Linked DNA regions of Drosophila melanogaster. The protein of the gene in region 2 interacts with the protein of the main gene of each other region in a biochemical or structural test. Each region holds a gene or a part of one and is shown on either strand. Other genes may lie near its edges.

What was found.
Region 1: of the proteins of Dis3l2 (region 2) and Tailor, one has a biochemical effect on the other in vitro, tested with the Drosophila melanogaster proteins (one study listed by BioGRID).

The regions. Positions count from the first base shown.
Region 1 is NT_033777.3:7,082,725-7,087,999, reverse strand, and holds Tailor (tailor), read left to right. Parts: upstream 1-1,916; 5' UTR 1,917-2,019; coding exon 2,020-2,118; exon of another isoform or gene 2,119-2,340; intron 2,341-2,436; exon of another isoform or gene 2,437-2,487; coding exon 2,488-2,586; intron 2,587-2,642; coding exon 2,643-3,075; intron 3,076-3,232; coding exon 3,233-3,466; intron 3,467-3,518; coding exon 3,519-3,625; intron 3,626-3,681; coding exon 3,682-3,817; intron 3,818-3,875; coding exon 3,876-4,052; intron 4,053-4,108; coding exon 4,109-4,310; intron 4,311-4,413; coding exon 4,414-4,618; 3' UTR 4,619-4,775; downstream 4,776-5,275. Other genes in the region: alphaTub84B (alpha-Tubulin at 84B), read right to left, coding at 1-766, 1,256-1,258; Dpck (Dephospho-CoA kinase), read right to left, coding at 4,857-5,163, 5,235-5,275. UniProt on the Drosophila melanogaster protein: Uridylyltransferase which mediates terminal uridylation of miRNAs, leading to their degradation. Has high specificity for splicing-derived miRNAs (mirtrons) and other miRNA substrates containing a 3'-G terminal nucleotide.
Region 2 is NT_037436.4:210,845-217,026, reverse strand, and holds Dis3l2 (Dis3 like 3'-5' exoribonuclease 2), read right to left. Parts: upstream 4,319-6,182; 5' UTR 4,278-4,318; coding exon 4,243-4,277; exon of another isoform or gene 4,184-4,242; coding exon 3,051-4,183; intron 2,996-3,050; coding exon 1,576-2,995; intron 1,523-1,575; coding exon 1,403-1,522; intron 1,345-1,402; coding exon 918-1,344; 3' UTR 548-917; downstream 1-547. Other genes in the region: thoc7, read left to right, coding at 4,340-4,409, 4,468-4,582, 4,648-5,329; Prp4k (Pre-mRNA processing factor 4 kinase), read left to right, coding at 5,719-5,735, 5,808-6,182.

The DNA.
Region 1 (5,275 bases), on a different chromosome or scaffold from region 2:
TCTGGAACTCAGTCAGATCCACGTTAAGGGCACCATCGAATCGCAGAGAGGCGGTAATCGAGGACACGATCTGGCCAATCAGACGGTTCAGGTTGGTGTACGTGGGGCGCTCAATGTCCAGATTGCGGCGGCAGATGTCGTAGATAGCCTCGTTGTCGACCATGAAGGCGCAGTCGGAATGCTCCAGGGTGGTGTGGGTGGTCAGGATGGAGTTGTAGGGCTCGACCACGGCAGTGGACACCTGGGGGGCTGGGTAGATGGCGAACTCCAGCTTGGACTTCTTGCCGTAGTCCACGGAGAGACGCTCCATCAGCAGCGAGGTGAAGCCGGAGCCGGTACCTCCACCGAACGAGTGGAAGATGAGGAAGCCCTGCAGACCGGTGCACTGATCGGCCAGCTTGCGGATCCTGTCCAGAACCAGATCGACGATCTCCTTGCCGATGGTGTAGTGGCCACGGGCGTAGTTGTTGGCCGCATCCTCCTTACCAGTGATCAGCTGCTCGGGGTGGAACAGCTGACGGTAGGTTCCGGTACGGACCTCATCGACCACAGTGGGTTCCAGATCCACAAACACGGCGCGGGGCACGTGCTTGCCAGCTCCAGTCTCGCTGAAGAAGGTGTTGAACGAGTCATCACCTCCGCCCACGGTCTTGTCAGACGGCATCTGGCCATCGGGCTGGATGCCGTGCTCCAAGCAGTAGAGCTCCCAGCAGGCGTTTCCAATCTGGACACCAGCCTGACCAACATGGATAGAGATACATTCACGCTGTGGATGAGGAGGAAGGGAAAACGGATGATTAGTTACACACCCCAAGAAAATCGATAATTGCAGAGCCGCGCCCAACTTGAGCCGGCACTGCGTGCGAGTGAGAGAGGTAGCTAAATGGTATACTGATTTTTTTGCTCTACTTTGCCGACGCCGGAATTTTACTCTCTCGCCATTTTCTCTTTAATTCTATCCAAAATCTACAGTTATGCGTCGAAGTATCATGGTAACCGAATTTAGAATTTTTAAGATTAATGAAGCGTTCCAGCAGCATAGAAATAATGAATATTTTTTTTATCTAGATTTTAAGAGCCATTCCTCATTGCGAACAAAAAAAAAAAACAGGCATGACGTCATCACTTTTGAGGAAAAAACGCAGGCCGGCCGCCATTTTGAGAAAAAGCCGCATCGCGTTTTTGCCCATTGAATTTTGCCCACACAAATTTCTTTTCAGCATTATTTCACTAGATTTTTTTTTAAAGTACTCACCATATTGAGTTTTTATTGGAAGTGTTTCACACGCGACAAGGAAAATTCACAGAATTGTGTAGAGCTACGATTTCGAGGTCTGACTCAGAGAGCGTATACGTTCGAACTGCCGGCTATGAGGCTTGACAAACGTAAAACGAATATGAAATGTGGAAAGCGGGCTGCTTTATATAGGCACCGGAGCTAGAGACGGCAAGCTGTCGACTTAAACGCCGCATAACCGATAACTGAAGTGGGAGAGGTAATGGCACTTGGTCTCTCTAAAACTTGCTGCGGTATTTTGCAGGACTAGTTGGGACTCGAACCAGGGCGTGAATCTTTGCTTGCCCAACCGGTAGACCTAACCGGTTGCTAAAGTGGGCCAACATTAATAATATTTTTGTTGAATGTTTCATAAAAGCTATTTTAATATAAATTCGCATCGTTACCGATTCAATAAGGTTTAGTAAATCATTATATTTCTGACTCCATATTGATTTCCAACAGCAAATTAATTAACTCCATAACTTCCCCTCTCCCTTTGGAGCAAAGGATGTAGTTAATATCTTAACATCTAAACTTGTTTTGTTTTTTTATTCAAATAGGAGTTATATTAAATAGAAATGTAAAAAACAAAGCAGGTTTTAAGAAAATGATGTCAGGAGATTTTGAACTCCTACTCATGGTCACTCTAATCGCAGTCTGCAATTTACGTGTTTCCAACTTAACGCCCCCAAGTTAATAGCCGTAATCATTTGAAAAGAAAGGCACGCACGCACAACGCCATGCGGATCGAACCTGGGGACTCCTTTTGGACGAAAAAGGCGATGTTTTCCAACGCAGAAAGGCAGTACTTTGAGACGGTCCGTCCGCGGAAGACCAGTGTGAGTAAAAGTTGACCGTCGATGGCGATTTCACAAGTGACGTTTAAGTGGCGGGAACTTCTACTCACAAATCCCTGAGCCCTGTGATATGATTTATTTTATGGAGCCGTGATCCGGACGAAAAATGCACACACATTTCTACAAAAATATGTACATCGCGGTGCGATTGTGTCGCTTAAAGCACACGTACACCCACTGTCACACTCACACTCACATGCATACACCGCCGGCGAACTTTGGTGTAGTTGGCCACCCTACGAAATTCAACCGCTTCGATTCGAATTTTCGAATCAACAGTTATTGGCAGTCGAACAAAGGCGGCAAACTTTCGAGTTGCAGAAAAGTTAACGCATTCGATTAACCTTTCAGCTTCCGGGCTCCACCGCGCCCAACATAGCCGCTCCGGTAACAAAGGCCACGAAGAAGAATAAGACGATGGCCGAGATGATGCCAAACAAACTGCTTTACGTGAGTACGAGTTTGTATCATTCGAATTTTTAGACTAAAGCCCGCTGATCGTGCAGATGAATCCGCTTACCATGGAGGCACACTTCTTTCTGCAGACCCTAAACTCAGTGAACCAGACGACGAATCCGCCGCAGCTAGACCCGCACCTGGCCAACCTGCTGGAGCGCATTATGGTGGGCATCGAGAGCTACTTGGACAGGAATCCCACATACGTTTTGCCGCAGGAGATGGCCGCACCGGGTGAGGGCGTGGCCTTCGTCCAGCCCCAGGAGCTGCAGACAATAAAGCGAACATTCAGCTGTAGTTCCTGCAGCAACCGCATAGTGGGCACCACCATCGCAAAAGCTGTGGCCCACCTTTCGGAGCAGCATCCAAAACCCAATCCCAACAATCAGCCAGTCCAGCCGCATCCGACGCATCAGACGAAACAGGAGAAAAAGCAGGCCCAGGTGAAGGCTCGTCAGCATATAACAGTACGGCTACCCAAGAGTAGGTCACCATTTCATTTCATTTACTTACGCAGAAGTGCAGTCTAAAAATTGTGGTCTGACTACTTGTAAATGTTAGATTGATAAAGCCTCAATACTTTGATTAATATGTTTTCTTTAGAGCCAGCGATATTTTATAAATACTTTTTACATTGCAGAGGCCAGGGCAATGATTGTGGGAGAGATTACGAATGTGTTTAAGGACAAATACCCAATAGCGGACAAGTTAAAGGTGATTCCCGAGTACGACGTTATCGAACAGGACCTGTGCAAGCTTTTGTCGCCGGGCTTTCCCAAACAACCACTGCGAGTCTACAAGTTCGGGTCCCGCATCACAGGCATTGGAAATCGATCCTCGGACCTGGACCTCTTCGTCGACATCGGTAAGTCGGGTTAGTACTGCATTGAGCTCCTACCAATTTCACCTGGCTTCTGAATTGGCAGGCAACACATTTCACACGTTCGAGCATCGAGCTTCCAACGCTACCGTCGCCAAGCTGCGGGCTATGAGGAAGTTCTTCTGCGACAGCGAGGACTGGCGTCTTATTAATGTGAGCTGTGTCCCTAAGCAATACGTTCGTTTTTACCATTGCACTTTCTTCAACAGTTCATCGAACAGGCTCGCGTGCCCATCATCAAGACGTGCCACTTACCAACCGGTATCGAGTGCGACATTTGTCTGAACAGCATGGGCTTTTGCAATACAAATCTGCTCAAATACATATTTGAGTCACAGCCACTGAGTAAGCACATGCTGCCGGATAGAGTCCATGTTATCTTTTTGCATTCGCTCCCTTGCAGCTCAATATATGTGCATATATGTAAAGAACTGGCTGGAGCGCTGCAAGCTAACTGAACAAATATCGACGTACAGCATTACACTGATGGTGATTTACTTCCTGCAGCTCCAGGCCCTGCTGCCCCCCATTGCCATGCTGCAGATAGAGGATGCAGCCAATCAGGCCGTGCTCGTGGGTCGTAAGTACATCGTCGGTTTCTTGGGGGGATTCACCAAGTAAGTCGTCTCTTTACAGCGTGGGTTGTCAACTTTGCACAAAAATCGTTTAGCGAACTGGGACTGCAGCAATTAAAGGCGACCGTCCCCGTCATCAAGGGCTTCCTTCGAAACTTCTTTGCGTATTTCGCCAAATTTGACTACGAGCATTTCTTGGTCTGCCCATATATAGGTCAGGCTAATGTTGAAATCGCGAAGATTGAGAGGATGCTGCATGCTAGGTGAGAATATTAATTGCTTAACTTTAAGCCCTTTAAATATGTAATGCTATATAGAAATTACAAAAAAAAAAAAAAAAAAAAAAAAAACTTTCCCTGCTACTAGGTATTCAGCATATGTGTCGGACAACCCTGAATGCTCGATCCAGCTGAAAAAACCGATGGTGGTACAGGATCCCATACAACTAAACCACAATGTAACGAAAGCGGTGACCAAATATGGACTGCAGACGTTCGTTGACTACTGCCAGCAGACGGCGGAGCTGCTTGAGGAACCTTCCACCAATTGGCGTCAGCGCTATGCATTTTAAAGAAATCCCCCTCGATTATCTGTCCCTGCATCCAATCTCAAGGCACTTCCGTTTATGGTCTGTTAGGCTTCTACCTTGTGAGCGCGACACCAATGTAGGTTTGTTCAGACTGTTAATTAAAGGCGATTGTCACGTTTCGGCAATATATTTCACTAACAAGCTTTTAAATTGTATAATTGGTTTGGTATCATTTGCATTAACACATAAAGTGACCTCGTATGGCACGCACAGACACGGACTACATCTGCCAGGACTCGGGCAGCCGGTTGAACACCTTCAGCAGCATATATATTGTGAAGCCCACGATTAGGAACAGCCCCAGGAAGCTGATGCGGTTCAGCCAGTGCTGCTTGGAGTCGCGCATCAGGTTGTAAATGCTCATGGCCGAGCTCTCCGCCTCCTCCACGCTCCCGTTATTGTCAATGACGAAGTGAGACTTCTCGCACTTCTTGTCCAGCGGCATTTGTGAATCGACGCGATGCCGGGCTTCCGATTCCGAGAGCTCATTGCGGGCTATTAATCGCTCCAGCTGCTTGTCCGAGTCGCTGCAATATGGGGGGATGCAGTTAAAGCCAGCTACACTTTGACACCTAGCATTCAAGAGCTATTAACCTACCAGGTTACACAGACGATCTTGTGTATAAAGTCCATCAGCAC
Region 2 (6,182 bases):
ACATATATTCCAAATCAGGATAACTAGCGTACTCGTCCGGGCCGGTTTAGATTAGACATGGATGTAGTTTTACAACGATACAAGTGGATGTAGTTTTAGAACGATCCGATCTGGAGACTTGTGCAGATATTGTGTGTGTACTTACTTAACCCGCACTTGATTGCGCAGTTCAATTTGCTTTTATTGTCGTAGCTCACCATATCACTACTCCAGACGGGATTGTACTCAGGGGTGGTTAGGCAGGATTGCGTGCATTGGAGCCTAGACTGTAGTTTTCTTATATTATCGGATGAGGGTGGCTTTGAATAAGTCCAACTAACAGCAGGAAAATGCCTTAAAAAAATCGTCAGCTGCAATCGGTGATTATACGACCTGGACAGCCTAACAAATATTCCGAATCTAGACATTTCAGACGATACTTCTGCGTCAATGCAAATTTAATTTAAAAAACCTCATGCTTTAAACTTTCGCCGTTAACATTATCGCCAATGACCCCAATTGACCTTTATTTTCGATTAACATTTGTCAGCATGATCCAAATCATTTTCGGTTAACTTGATTGTTTTATTGATAAGCAGTTAAGCCTTGATTTTACATAGCACATATGTACATACATTTTTACAAGCTTATTATGATATGCAAACCGAAAAAGGAAGCATCACAGAGTCAATTTTTGTCAAGCATAAAGCTCGGACCCACAATGTGGTTCAAAAAAGTGAGTTTGGACTAACAAGTATTTTTCGATTTTTTTGATTTTTCATTTAACGACACTGAAACAGAAGGAATCTCTTAAACAAAATTGATGTTCCCTCTGTGTGTAGTTATAAACTTTTTTGGCTTATTGAAAAAATACGGTGCAGTTGCTTTGGGTTGTTCCTATGCGAAGAATTACATCTGCTCGTCTGCTCCTTTTTTTCCTAAATTTGTTCTTCCATCTTTAAAAATCCAGTTAGTTTTTGGTCCCAAATGATCAGACATATGGGGACCACGGAAAGCAGCTGCAACTTCCTAGGTGACTGCTTTAAGTTGCGCTCGGCAATAAGAATGTAATTGGGTACGCCGTGTGTGTCTACGAGGACCTTTTGCATTTTGTAGTTAATGCTTATAACGTGGCCCGACTCCAGAGTAACTACGTTCATCATATGCTGAAATATTTCAATGACCACAGCTCGCATGTATATGCCCTGCTTGTTGTGAACATATCGTTTGAAGTACAAGTTACCAGAGTCCTCTCCGGCCTTTTTCGCATTGTACTTGCGCTCATTCGCTAATTTCGTTAAGGTGTGCAAATCATCTGGGGTACGTTTAGGCGGTGTACAATATTTAAGTGCGGCCGCCAAAAGTCTAGAGTGGAGGAAATTTTAAGTACGGGAGGCGAACTTCCAAGGTAAGTGACAGTTACCGGTGCACCAAAATATCAGGATACCGACGGATTGGGCTAGTAAAGTGAGTGTATATGGGTATGGACAAGGCGTAGTGCCACAGGTCAGCCGGTTCCGATTTACCCTCGCTACAAAAATATCTAAAGGGGGGAAATTGTGGGAAGAGTAATTATTTGAAAACTGAGACACTCACGTTGCACGGGCCATTGGTTTCATCAAAAGCTGACTTAGGCAGGCATTCATTGCGACAGGATTGGGCGCCTCATTGCACAACCGCACCATGCTCTCCTGGAGCGCCTTAGACGAGCTATAGTCCAATTCGAATCCCAGAGCAAGCAGCTTTTCCCTTAAAGCCTTAAGGGACTTAATAAGTGGCGGAGGGTGGTTACGCAGTACAGCGATATCCGGAAAGGAGTCGTGTATAAAGCGGGCGACTGCCTGGTTGGCCAGGAGCATAAACTCTTCAATCAGCCGGTTAGCCTCTCGCTGTTTCTCCACTTCAAAAGACAACGGCTCGCCAGTAATTGGATCGAGCAGGAAGCGTAGCTTGGCATTGTTAATTGTGAGTGCGCCATTGTCTAAACGTGTCTTACGGATGGAGCTTGCAATGTCGTGCAGCCATAGCACCCTATTTCTGATATCATCGGGATTAAATCCATTCAGGATGGTCGGAAAGTCGTTCTCGGTAAACCGTTCATTAGGGTTGTCGATGATCTTTTGAGCGTGTTCATAAGCAAATTGCGAGCAAGAGTTAATGACTGTGCGGCAAAATTCTGGCTTCTTTTGCAGCATGACTCCCTTCCCGTTCATCCGCCAGAAGACGGAAAAAGCAAACTTGTCTTGCCCAGGGAGCAGGGAACATCGCATGCATAGAGACTGAGGCAGCATGTGGATTACCTCGTTGGCTAAATAAATAGACGTAGAGCGTTCCTTCACTATGTTATCCAGTTCATTGTCCTCTATCAGGAAGTGCGAAACATCGGATATATGGACGCCAATCTCATATTCGTTGTCGCCTAGCTTCTCTATAGAAACGGCGTCATCCAAATCGCGAGCAGTCATCGGATCTATAGTAAATATGCACATCTTTCTTAAGTCTTTTCGTTGACGCAGATCCTCTTGGCTTATCGGAGGTGGCGGCTGGGAGTAAATGTCGATAAATCGTTGCTCAAATGGCTTTATATCCCGGAGACCGTTATGAAACAGAATTGCCTTAAGTTCGTCATCCAAATTACCCACGCGGCCAACCGGCTGGATTAGTTCAGCGATGCAGTGCCCATTGCAATCTGTCTCGAGTATATGGGCAAGGTATAAGAGGCCGGACACGTCTATTTGCTGCTTGTTTCCGATGTGGGCGGCACAGGCATCCTTCGGAACGTAGACCATGGGGACACGCAAATCGTACGGTCGGAATTTGTAGAATAGCTGGTCGTCACAGAGTTTGGTTGGGTTCGTAAACGATATGGTTCCCACGATCTGGCGGAGCTCAGTTCGTTTAGTTATTGCTATGACGAACGCTTTAGGGCAGTTGTCCGACGATATCACGACCACGTTGTCGGTATCGGACTCAGAGCCCTGGGACTCGGTATCGTCCGAAAGCTCCTCACCATCCGCTTTATAGGATATTATCATCAGTCGAAAGTATTATAAGTTTGCCGATAAACTTACCAAGAGATAATGAGGGCTTCCCACCAGAGATTTCACCAGACGAGGGCTCAGCTGTCTTTGAACTACCCTGAGCACCAGGGTTTAGCACGAATGCACGTACTTTGTCACCATCGAAGGCATAGCGCCTAGCCACTGGCAAGAGCACGATGCCATCTCGTTCGAGTGCTTCTCGATCAGTGGACATGATTATAAAGGCCTGTCTGTTGTTCTTGCGGTTAACCCGGATTTCCTCTTCTACAATGCGCCCATAACCCGCCGCAACTAGTCTCTGCGCATGCGCTTCCAGGTCGGAGAAGTTACCTTTGAAAATCAAGTCTTCCGACAACTGGTGATCCATACCCACGTGACGTTGGACAATCTTGTTTATGTACGACCGCATGGCCTCTAGTTCGGTTTTTTGCGATTGGGTCCCATTGCTACCGGATCCATCGTTTTTCTTGCTATTGCGTTGCCTTCGTCCTAGTTTCGGTTGCTGCTGTACATGACTTCCATTGTTTGTAGCAGAGACCTCAGAATCGTGGCGATGCCGCCCCTGGTAACCAACCTGTTGCGGATGTGCTTCTGACCTGGTCTGACTCCACTCGAGCTGAGAAAGGATCTCGTTTTTACGTATCAGCTGGCAGGCATACGCGTTAACATCTGGGGAGAGGTGTGAAAGATGTTTGACCATATCCTGAAGAGCTTCCACCTCATTTCGAAGAGCCCGCTTCGACTTCTTTTTCGCTATTAACCGATGGCTGGGACTAGACACGACGTGCAAATGCGAAAGTGGCTGAAGGCAGGGAATCTGCATGGTCGCCTGGTAGGAGGCGAATGCTACGTGGTAGGGCAATTGCATAGCTACCGGCGCTGGCGTGGATACTGGCACACCGTAAGGAATGGCCTGCCTGCTGTTGCTCCGAGCAGATGGTTGGGATTGGTTGGGATGTGGCCGTGGTTCCGCCCAGCGCATTAGTGGCTGCAGCGGAATAACGGCATTGTTGGCCGATAGGTCTTTGCTGGATGCATTAGACTCCATTTCCCTCTGCATCTGCTGGAGGCGGGCAGCAAGGCGTTGTGAGCGCTGTCGGAGGCCCTCAATCCTTCTGCAATCTCGGTCCGCATCCACGTTGACGCTTGACGTTTCCGACATTCTGCAAGAAGTGCACTTAGTTAATGGGATTCGCTGATGTCCGAAAGTGTACGGCACTACACTTGGCTATGGGCGGGATATAAAGGGTAAGGCATAATTCAATACTTTCTCCAAATTAAAATGATAGGACAAGTACAGTAGGACCGTACTGCGTGGTATGTCGGAGCAGTGTCAGCTTCGGCCACACTCCGATACGCTAGTTCGGAAATTAGTGGAGATGAATGACGGTAAGTTGTTTTTGTTTATTTTCGCATTTGGGAATAGATATTTAAACTGATCTTCCAGAAGAAATCATAAAGCAGCGCCTGCTGATTGACGGGGATGGAACTGGAGAGGATCGGAGAATAGTAGTGTTGCTGAAACAGTTCTTGAAGTGGGCCAGTGACTCGCTGGACAGCAAGTAAGAAATTGGATATGTGTGTATTCAAAACATGGTGTACATATCTCCTCTTTTCCGAATTACAGTCCCATCATGTACGACCGACTGATGGCCCAATTCGCCCAGTGCAAGCTCACTGCGTTAAAGAATGTACAAACTCTGCAGATGATCGCCGGTGAGCGTGACAACTACACACAACTAGTTGAACACCACGAAGAAAGTATTGTTTTGGCTAAAGCGGAAATCGAATCCAGTAAAAAAGAGCTAATCACTGCCAAGCAGATTCGCAAGAACAAGATGGAGTACGACCTGCTGGCCTCGCTCATCCAGGACCAACCGGACCGCAGTGAAACACAGCGACATATTGAGACCATTAGGAGGGAGATTGACGACTTGGTGCAAAAGAAGCTAAAGATGGAGCGCAAGTTTCAGAAACGACGCAATGACTTCACTTTGCTGATGTACACGATTCACGAGCTGGAACAGCAGCTGGACCAGGACAGCTCATCCTCGGCATCCTCCTCGTCCAGCGATTGCGATGCCCGCTCTGAGCCGGACCTAGACGACAATGGGATCATGGAGGTAAGCGATGAAGACGACGATCTCAACAATAGCACTCCCACAAAGTTCGACGGAGCCCGCGGCGAGCCCAAATATCACTCAGTCTCTACTGAGGACTCTAAAGCCATGTCCGTAGAAGAGGACACGGTGCTTGAGCTAAGCATCGACAAAGATGAGCACGACGTGGATGTAGCTGTTGCCAATTAGGTTAGAAGCGCTAGCATGTACAATAAAAACAAAAAAATAAAATGTCATGAACTATAATATACAAATTCAACTGTTGTTTCGAAATTCCTTCGTTTTTATTTCCAATTTAGACTTGCGCCAAAGACGATATTTAAGGGTTATAAAATTTAATTTTAATATATTTTTATTTTACTTGCATATATACTAGAAATAATTCCGAAATCCCAGGAGGTATTTTTAAAACGTATTTACTTTTGTCCGGCGTGCAGTCACACTAAAAAAGCTACGAAGAGGAAGAATACAATAAGAGGAAAATTACAAGTTTCATTAGCCATCTGCAGAATTACCGCACACCTTATGAACGCACAGTGTGCGCGCATCTGCAGTTTACATTGTTAAACAATCAAATAATGGCTGACGACAAAAGGTAGGTTAATTTTACTAAGCCGACCGCACGTGTGTGTATTGACCTGGGCTGCTCCCCTCTTGTACCGAATAGCTACGACTCCAGCAACAACAGCGAGACCGAAGAGCGTCGGGCCAAGCACAAAAAGGCTAAAAAGCACAAAAAACATAAAAAATCCTCGACTGGCAAGACCGAGAAGGACAGGCATGTCCACAAGAAGCAGAAGAAGGCAAAAAAGCGCCCCCACCGAACAAGCGAATCCACAAACGAATCGGACGCCCCGGAAAACGCAAAGTTAAAGCTATCACAAAATTGCGGGCTGAGCAGCAAGTTCACAGAAATCATGCAGAAGGCCAGCCGGAATGGAGCCGATTTCCGTGTCGGCAAACCCCTGCTTCCGACGGATCCGAGCAGCCTTGTTGAAGAAATCACCAAAACTATTCAGAATAAGATGCTGCCTGTCCTGGA